Sus scrofa: one gene and its partners. The protein of the gene in region 1 interacts with the protein of each later gene in a pairwise test. Links are inferred from orthologs where the notes say so. Each region holds a gene or a part of one and is shown on either strand. Other genes may lie near its edges.

What was found.
Region 2: the proteins of CTNNAL1 (region 1) and RNF135 interact in binary tests that used the Homo sapiens proteins (3 or more experiments, as listed by UniProt). The two-hybrid records come from large-scale screens. The link is inferred for Sus scrofa from reciprocal best matches to the Homo sapiens genes CTNNAL1 and RNF135.
Region 3: the proteins of CTNNAL1 (region 1) and DMD interact in binary tests that used the Homo sapiens proteins (3 or more experiments, as listed by UniProt). The two-hybrid records come from large-scale screens. The link is inferred for Sus scrofa from reciprocal best matches to the Homo sapiens genes CTNNAL1 and DMD.

The regions. Positions count from the first base shown.
Region 1 is NC_010443.5:250,029,949-250,033,448, reverse strand, and holds part of CTNNAL1 (alpha-catulin), read left to right. Parts: intron 1-145; coding exon 146-304; intron 305-3,500. UniProt on the Homo sapiens protein: May modulate the Rho pathway signaling by providing a scaffold for the Lbc Rho guanine nucleotide exchange factor (ARHGEF1).
Region 2 is NC_010454.4:42,793,255-42,796,096, reverse strand, and holds the end of RNF135 (E3 ubiquitin-protein ligase RNF135), read left to right. Parts: intron 1-144; coding exon 145-674; 3' UTR 675-2,342; downstream 2,343-2,842.
Region 3 is NC_010461.5:27,124,228-27,127,727, reverse strand, and holds part of DMD (dystrophin), read left to right. Parts: intron 1-754; coding exon 755-956; intron 957-3,140; coding exon 3,141-3,226; intron 3,227-3,500. UniProt on the Homo sapiens protein: Anchors the extracellular matrix to the cytoskeleton via F-actin. Ligand for dystroglycan.

The sequences.
Region 1 (3,500 bases):
GGAACTTGACACTTCCCTCTCAACAGGTCAAGCGGGACTGCTTTGAGGTTGCTACTCTTTTTTAAAGTACTCGTGAAGTTTTTGGTCACAAAACCTTATTGTTTGTTGTCTGTCTTTCATTACCCTTCACCCCCCACATCTGCAGCTTCATAGTACAGCAGCTCAGCTGGCAGCAGATCTGTTAAAATACCATGCTGATCATGTGGTTCTAAAAGCATTAAAACTTACTGGAGTAGAAGGAAATTTAGAAGGTTTGGCCGAATATGCCTGCAAACTCTCTGAACAGAAAGAGCGGCTTGTTGAGGTGAGTAATAAGTTGCTAGTTAAAAGAAACTGTAGTTTAATGAAAGCTGTACTGTCATCAGGGAGTATTAGCATGCATACAATTTTTGGTTAACTCATAGGAGCATTTTCTCTGGTGCCTTTGGAATTTTAAAAATAGCATGTTTCTCTGTTCTGTTCTTAGAACTATCTGGCCTCTAAAGCAAAATATTAAAAAATGCTAGAACCCACAAATGAACTTCTTAATCTTCTTCCTTATTCTGTCAGAGAGATTAGATCTTGGAGTCAAGCAATGGCGGTTCATCTTATGACCCTGTTTGTATTTGAGTCTTTTGAGTATCAGTGCAAAAGAGATGGCACATTCAAATTAGGTGTTTTTTTTGTTTTTTGTCTTTTTGCCTTTTCTAGGGCCACTCCTGCGGCATATGGAGGTTCCCAGGCTAGGGGTCAAATCAGAGCTGTAGCCACTGGCCTACATGAGAGCCACAGCAATGTGGGATCTGAGCCACGTCTGCGACCCACACCACAGCTCATGGCAACGCCGGATCCTTAACTCACTGAGCAAGGCCAGGGATCGAACCCGAACCTCATGGTTCCTAGTCGGATTCGTTAACCACTGCGCCACGACGGGAACTCCATCAAATTAGGTTAATTTAAAAAGAGATTGAGGAGTTCCCGTCGTGGCGCAGTGGTTAACGAATCCGACTAGGAACCATGAGGTTGCGGGTTCGGTCCCTGCCCTTGCTCAGTGGGTTAACGATCCGGCGTTGCCGTGAGCTGTGGTGTAGGTTGCAGACGCGGCTCGGATCCCACGTTGCTGTGGCTCTGGCGTAGGCCGGTGGCTACAGCTCCGACTGGACCCCTAGCCTGGGAACCTCCATATGCCGTGGGAGCGGCCCAAGAAGTAGCAACAACAACAACAACAAAAGACAAAAAGACAAAAAAAAAAAAAAAAAAAAAAAGAGAGATTGAGTTCCCATTGTGGCTCAGCAATAACAAATCCATGAGGACGTGGGTTTGATCCCTGGCCCTACTCAGTGGGTTAAGTATCCGGCATTGCCATGAGCTGTGGTGTTGGTCACAGGTGTAGATCTGGTGTTGCTGTGGCTGTGGTGTAGGCTGGCAGCTGCGGCTCCAATTTGACCCCTAGCCTGGGAACTTTATAATGCTGCAGGTGCATCCCTAAAAAACACAGAGTTTAACAAAAAGAGCTGTTTACAGTTGCATGGAAGGGTGTGAGGGGAACTATGAGAGTTCACAAATTGGGGTTCGTGATAGCAGAGCGGGTGCCACTCCTACACACAAATTAATGGGGGGAGGCAGGTGGGGTAAGTGGTTTCTGGAAACTGGAAGGACATAGAGTCCTTCAGAGAGCCACTTTGAGAGACTGTAATTTTAGGACTAGATACCTGCAGGGGAAGAACATGAGAATAAAGGCCCTTCCCCTCCTCATTCCTGCTGGTCTATTGCCAGGGCTTCACATTGGCCAAACCCAGCTGTAGACCTCATAGGTCAGTCTCCCAGGGCAAAAGCAGATTTGAGAAGGAAGAAGTAGTGGATATGGAGGGACAAAGAGAAAACAGTCAACACAGTTTTCCTTCTCTGAATCTCTCCTCTTCTGCCCAAATATCTGTTATGTGTTACTGGTGCTTTTCTTGCCCCTTTTGTTATAATTCCAAGTATTGATTGATCCTAAACCTTTTATGTGTTGAGAATGTCAGACAGCTACTAAGGATATGTGTACTTAATGCATGTACATATGAGGAAGACATATATTTTCCCCTTGTATATATGAGGTATGTCCTAGCCAACATGCATGTAAAGGCACAGACACGAACCATCTAGCTGTCTCTATCTTGCCTCAGGTACCCTGCTCACTGAATTTGAGGCTAATGGTTAGAACAAACCTTTATTTTATTTATTTATTTATTTGTCTTTTTGTCTTTTGAGGGCCACACCCACGGCGTATGGAGATTCCCAGGCTAGGGGTTGAATCGGAGCTGTAGCCCGCCAGCCTACACCAGAGCCACAGCAATTCAGGATCCGAGCCGCATCTGCGACCTACACCACAGCTCATGGCAACGCCAGATCCTTAACCCCTGAGCGAGGCCAGGGACCGAACCTGCAATCTCATGGTTCCTAGTTGGATTCGTTAACCACTGCGCCACCACGGGAACTCCCCTTTATTTTTATTTATTTATTTTTGTCTTTTGTCTTTTTAGGGCCGCATCCGCAGCATATGGAGGTTCCCAGGCTAGGGGTCTAATGGGAACTGTTGCCGCCGGCCTATGCCAGAGCCACAGCAACACCAGATCCAAGCTGCGTCTGCGAACTACACCACAACTCATGGCAACGCCAGATCCTTAACCCACTGAGGGAGGCCAGGGATCGAACCCGCAACCTCATGGTTCCTGGTGGGATTTGTTTCTGCTGTGCCACGATGGGAAATCCAGAAGGAACCTTTAGACTAACCAGCTTCTTTTCCTTTATTTGTTTATGTCTCAAAACTACTAGGAAGCATTCTCTCTCTCTCTCTCTCTTTTTTTTTTTTGTTTTTCAGAAATGCCCAGGCCATGGATTGAACCTGAGCCACAGCAGTGACAACACCAGATCCTTAACCTGCTGAGCCACCAGGGAACCTCTACCAGGGAGCATTCTTAAAATCACTGTACATACATGTCCTTCTAAAAACAGATCTGATGTTGGTTTGTTTATAAATCAAATATGACCATAGGCAATCTTGCTAATTAATTGTAGGAATCCTGCAGCAAATCTTTTTAAAAGGTGAAAACTTTTTTCTAATTATCTGTTTTAAGCCTCAAGATTTTCAGTAATTTTCCCTGCTATAGGCTCTTTACTCATTACATCAGTTTTGCCTAATCCAGTGTTATTGCCTGGATAGGTTGATTGTGGGGAGCAGTGTTATTTGTCGGCAGAAAGAATGTATGGTTTGTGGTAACTGACATAATTTAGCTGAGAGACCTTGGGTACGTCCTCCTCTGAGCCAAGTTTCTTCATACATGAAATATGTGGCTGCTGCAAGGTCCTTTCAGGATTCCTCCTGCTTCTCATATTCTCTGACCACCTTGCCATGATCAGATAGGAAGTAGAAACAATACAGGGTTTGTCAACCATTATTTGTTCCTGCTTTATTCCTAGAGAATCTGTTGGTAACCAATATAGTATTATAATAATCTTTCCATGAATATACACATCTA
Region 2 (2,842 bases), on another chromosome or scaffold:
TGCACGTTGATATACCAGGGTTTATGTTAGTGTGAGTAAAACTTTATCACACTCGAAGATACAAAGCTGCTTTTTGCTATTTGAGGATCTCTTCGCATGAACCATCAGAGCTGGCTGGTCACATTCTTGTTTCTTTTCCCTCAGGGGCCATCAGTCCAACCTTTGACCTAGGGAGCCTCTCCTGTAGCCTGGAGGTGTCCGAGGATCACCGGACGGTGACCGTATCTCACTACCCACAGTCCTATCCCTGGAGTCCCGAGAGGTTTGCCTCCTGCCAGGTTTTGGGTTCCCAGGGCTTCTCTTCTGGGCAGCGGTACTGGGAAGTGGACACCCAGCGTTGTAGCCACTGGGCAGTTGGGGTGGCTTCCCGGGGGATGAGGCGTGACCAGATCCTGGGAAGGACCAGCGACTCCTGGTGCGTGGAGTGGAACGGGGCTAGCCAGCTCTCTGCGTGGCACGTAGTCAAGCAAACTGTCCTTGGCTCAGACAGACCTGGTGTGGTAGGCATCTGGCTGGACTTCGAGAAGGAAAAGCTCGCCTTCTATTCCGTGGCTGATCAAGAGAAGCTTCTGTACGAGTATCCAGTCTCTGCCTCCTTTGCTCTGTACCCTGCCTTCTGGCTGTATGGCTTATATCCTGGAAACTCTCTGACTGTAAGGCAGGTAAACCTATAAACGTTCCTTGGGTGTGAAAACATGTTGGTTTCCCAGTCTCTCTGGCTTCAGGCAGGCCGGCAACTTGGCTTAAGAATCCCACTTCAGGGAATTCCTGTTGTGGCTTAGCAGTTTAAGAACCCAATTAGTATCCATGAGGATGCAGGTTCCATCTCTGGCGTCGCTCAGTGGGTTAGGGATCCGGTGTTGCTGCAAGTGGCGGCATAGGTCACAGATACAGCTTGGATCTGGTGCTGCTGTGGCTGTGGTGTAGGCCTGCAGTTGCACTTCCAGCTCGACCCCCTAGCCTGGGAACTTCCATATGCCGCAGGTGTGGCCCTGGGAAAAAAAAAAAAGATTCCCATTTCAGATGTTAAGGAATTCGAAGTAAGTGCTTAACTCAGCAGGCTTAGGTTGTTCAGATCCGCACATTCCAAAGAAAGGAGAGTCTTGACTGGGAGATAACTTCAAAGCCCTTGGAGGAGTTCCTGTCGTGGCACAGTGGTTAACGAATCTGACTAGGAACCATGAGGTTGCCAGTTTGATCCCTGGCCTTGCTCAGTGGGTTAAGGATCTGGCATTGCCGTGAGCTGTGGTGTAGGTTGCAGATGCGGCTCGGATCCCACGTTGCTGTGGCTGGTGGCTGCAGCTCCAATTAGAATGCAAAAAGACAAAAACCAAAACCAAAACCAAAAAAAAAAAAACAAAGCCCTTGTAATATCCTGCCTGATAAGGTGTCTTTCTTTACCTGAGGGTCTTGGGCCAGGCAGTATCAGCTTGACCTCTGGAGGGACTGGAAACTAAGGTCATGATGTGGGTGGTGGGTCTGCCTATGTGACCGACCCCCCAGTCAAAGCCATGGACACAAGTCTTGGCTGGGCCTCCCGGCTGGCAATATTCTGTCTGTGTTGTCACACATTGTGTTGGGAGAATTAAGCCTTATTCTCCTGACTCCACTGGGAGAGGAAATTAGGGGTCTCCTGGCCCCTGCCCTATGTGCCTTTTTCTATTCCTGTTTTGTTGTTGTTTTGTCTTTTTAGGGCCATACCCTCGGCATATGGAAGTTCCCAGGCTAGGGGTCGAATCAGAGCTATAGATGCTGGCCTACGCCACAGCCACAGCCATAGCCACATCAGATCTGAGCCTCGTCTGTGACCTACACCACAGCTCATGGCCACACCGGATCCTTAACCTTCTTTTTTTTAAATTTTTTTTATTTTTTTGTCTTTTTTTTTTGCTATTTGTTGGGCTGCTCCCGAGGCATGGAGGTTCCCAGGCTAGGGGTCTAATCGGAGCTGTAGCCACCGGCCTACGCCAGAGCCACAGCAACTCGGGATCCGAGCCACGTCTGTGACCTACACCACAGCTCATGGCAACGCCGGATCGTTAACCCACTGAGCAAGGGCAGGGACTGAACCCACAACCTCATGGTTCCTAGTCAGATTCGTTAACCACTGCGCCACGACGGGAACTCCGGATCCTTAACCTTCTGAGTGAAGCCGGGGATTGAACGTGCATCCTCATGGATGCTAGTCAGATTCATTTCTGCTGAGCCACGATGGGAACGCCCGTCCTGGCTTTTATAGTAATGGCTTCCTTGCATCTTTTGTTTTAGCACCTAAATATGTGTTCCTAGCTGCAAGCATTTAGTCTTGCCCATTAAAAAAACCTGATACATCTTTTTCGTAATAGCTTTGTTGAGATTTGATTTACATACTGTAAAATTCACTTCAAGTGTACACATCAGTTTTTTCATATATTGACAGAGTTGTGAAACCATCACCACTGTCTAATTTTAGAACATTTTCATCACCCCCAGAAAGACCCCTGATACCCATTAGCAGTTGATATGTCTTTGAAGTCTTCTGATCCGAAGCTTTCCCCTCCCTTTCTTCTTCCGATTCATCTGTAGGCTCCCAGGCTGCCTCCACACTGGTGGGAGAAGTGGAAATTCAGTTCCGTTGGACTGGGCCGGGCAGAAAGTCTGGCCACACAAACCAGCGAGGCAGCCTTTGATCGTGCATGTCACCTCTTTGCCCCTTTTCCATGTAAAAGGGCAGTGACTATTCTTTGCCCTTCCTGATCTTCCCCCAAGGGTTGCCGAGAGAATTAAATAAATAGATGAGGCCATTGGAAGAATGCCAGGGTGATTATAACCACAGCAACCACGAGGGAATATATTTTCCTAT
Region 3 (3,500 bases), on another chromosome or scaffold:
GCAGTTATTTTAGTTTGCCTATAGAAAATTGTAATGAGGGTGATTATTTTTTTCACCTAGTATGAACATAGCAGAGATTAGGAGGTGACTGATATTTCAAGGAGAAAAACGCTTAATGATTATAAATGCATATCTGGAAATAGAGTTTATACAACCATAACCATACAGATTAATCAAACTGACCTTCTGTGATACTAATACAAGAAAGTATTCTCAGGGACTTCGAAAATCTCTAGTAAAACATTTTTTTTCCCTGATTTGGGTGAAAATGACTTTGTTCCCATAGAGCACTATCGGGCCCCCTGAACTCTCAGGTATTTCCTAATACTTCAGGAGTGGGAGCTGTCTCTTTACCTACATCTTCATCCAATGCCAGTGAGACTTAAGAAAAACCTCAGAGCTTCAATACCCATCAAACCCATCAAACTTAAAGCTGAGGGATGCAAACAAAATGCTTTAATAAGAGAGGGTGCAGGGAGTTCATTGTAGCACAGTGGGTTAAGGATCCAGTGTTGTCACTGCAGTGACTCGGGTTGCTGCTGTGACACAGGTTCAATCCCTGGCCTAGGAACTTCCACATGTCGCAGGTATGGCCAAAAATAAATAAAAATAAGATAAAATAAAAAGAGGGTATGGTTCAGGTTTGGTGTCTACTAAAGGGACAAGACAACACTACTAAGATTGTCAAAAAGAGAAACAGCAAAGAAAGGATTTTCCCCTTTGAATCACTTGTGATTTTGTGTGACTTTTGCAGTGGATCTCTTGAGCCTGTCAGCTGCATGCGATGCCTTGGACCAGCACAACCTCAAGCAGAATGACCAGCCCATGGACATCCTGCAGATCATTAATTGTTTGACCACTGTTTATGATCGCCTGGAGCAAGAGCACAACAATCTGGTCAACGTCCCCCTCTGCGTGGATATGTGTCTCAACTGGCTGCTGAATGTTTATGACACGTACGTATGGCAGGCTTTTTCCAGACTCTGTCATGGGAGGCTTGGTTTACAGAATGGTGACAGTGTAATTACCATCACAACAGGGCTCCAGTCTAGAAATATGGTCCTTGGAATGAAAGTTTCATGAAGCCCTCTGACCTTATGTTGTCCCCGTGATTAATCATTTTTGCCTTTAATGGAACTGAAAAATATGTTGAGAAGTGGGGAGGGTAAGAACAATAAGGTAGGTTGTTCTCAGATCATCAAGCAGACAAAACCCCAAAGTTACTCATTTTTCCAGTAGTAGCATGAGACAGTGTGTAGCCCTTGGTTCTCTGCCTTCCTTGCCTGTGTACTTTGAACTTCATCCTCTTCAGGGATGGCTCCCTCTCACCAGCCGGAAGGGGTGAGCTCCTGGAGATGCTGGCACACCTGTCACCAGCTCTGAACAGTGTTTGCTGATATTCATAGGTTTTTGCAGAAGGCTGCATTGATAAGCAAAAAGGAAAAGAAAAGAAAATAAGCCCTTGATGTAGCAAACTCAGCTCCTCAAACTGAGGAAGTTTTGTCTTTTTTTTTTTTTTTTTTAAATAAGGGTTTATGAAGTTGCAATTTGGCCCTCCATTTATCTCTCTCTTAGAACTTGCTTATTTCTTTTGGATTACACTTAGGCGAGCTCCCCAGTTTCATCTTGAGCTTAATGAAGATAATTGAGGAAGGCAGCAGAAGGAATTGGTCTTAATTTTGACTGAATTCTTCTCAGACCTCAAAATTATTATATGCCCGATTTCCCATGTCAATAAGAACATTTTCCACATTTGGAAATCTGCAAAGGTTTTCTGAAAGGAGTTGCATAGCAACTGTTTTGCTTTTGCCTTTGTTGTAGATTTCTACCATCTCCTGGCTTAAAATGTATACCTTTTTTTCTTTGTTACTTTGATAAGGCATTGCTTTCTAAATTCCAAATCACCTGGCTATTGAATTCTGATCATTATCTACCAAGCTCTTGAACATGTTGGATTTTAATTACGGATTATACTTACACTTGCTTTGATAAGGGTTTCTATTCAGGTCTTCCCTCAAATGTATTTTGGCACCATTTTCTTTCCAGATGTTGTGTAAATGGATTCTGGTAACTTCCTCTCTCTATGCCTGAAAATTTTGAGGGGACAATTTTAACTCCTTGAAGACCTGAGTTTTTACATAAAGTTTGTTAAACTTTGCTTTGCCTTTTTAAAAAGGGAAAAAGATAAAATCTTCAATGATAGTGCTTTTGTTAATGTGTTAGGACCCACGATTTCCATTTTTTACTAATAGATTTAGTAAATTGTACCAGTTGAAAGGTGAACATATTTTTCACCAAAAATAACCACCATTGGGACTTGTCCTTTGCCATTCTCCAGACTATTTTTTTAACCAGCAAATATGGTTCAGTATTTTTCACAACAAAATCAAAGCTGAAAACTATCAAAAGGCATTTTCTAGAAAATGAAAAACTTCATTTTAATTTTCCCATGGATAAAATGAACTTATTAATAAATACCTTCTGGAATGCTTTATATGTAACATGAAAGTACATCTGTATTAAAACATTGCTGTAGCAATAGGTTATTTTTAATTTGCTGTTTAAGATCATCTAGCTGAATGCTCTCTAATAAACTGCATCATATTTTTCTTATAGACATAAATATTCCCATTTTATATTACATGTCATGTGGCCTGAAGTGATTAATTTTCTTCTCAATAAAGGGCAATCTGATGAAAATCTAAATGAGTGTTGAAGAGGGCAGAGCAGTTAGGCAGTTAGTTAATTTTTTTTTTTTTTTTGGCTTCAGTAACCAAAGTAGGTAATTTGCTTATTAGTACATAGTAGTAAATCTTCCACTTATTAACTTAGCCCAGGTGGCTCTCCCTAGATAAATAGAGGCTATTTTTTTCTTCTTTTATGTAGAGAAACTCTTACCATTCAAGAAGGGGTTTTTAAGAATTGAAAACTTGCTAAGTGTTCATTGGTTGAGTTGGTCAAATTTCCATCGCATTCTAGGTTATCAGCCAGATAGATAATGAACTCAGAAATGTTCTTAACGATCTTAAACAATGGTCAATAGAGTTCCCATATCCAAGGGTTTTTTTCTTAACTGAGAAGTTTTTTATCATTTAGTAAAGTGTCAGTAATTGTTTTTCTGCTTTGATTATTCATAATAGGGGACGAACGGGGAGGATTCGGGTCCTGTCTTTTAAAACTGGCATCGTTTCTCTGTGTAAAGCACACTTGGAAGACAAGTACAGATGTAAGTCATGTGTATTAAGTCTGTATTCTTTTATTAATGGTGGCTAATTACCCCTGTTCTAGATGGGGAATGACATAGTGTTCTTATTTGGCAGCAGGTTCCTCATGTAAGGTGTAGAACTACTTTTAGACTGTCATAAAATTTGGTTTGTGCCATTCCCTGTCAGACGTTAAATTGTAGGTATTTAAATAGAGAATGAGGATTAACTTCTCCAGTGCAAGTGTTATTTTACATTGCATTGACTATGTCTAAACAAAACACATGTTCCTTGGGG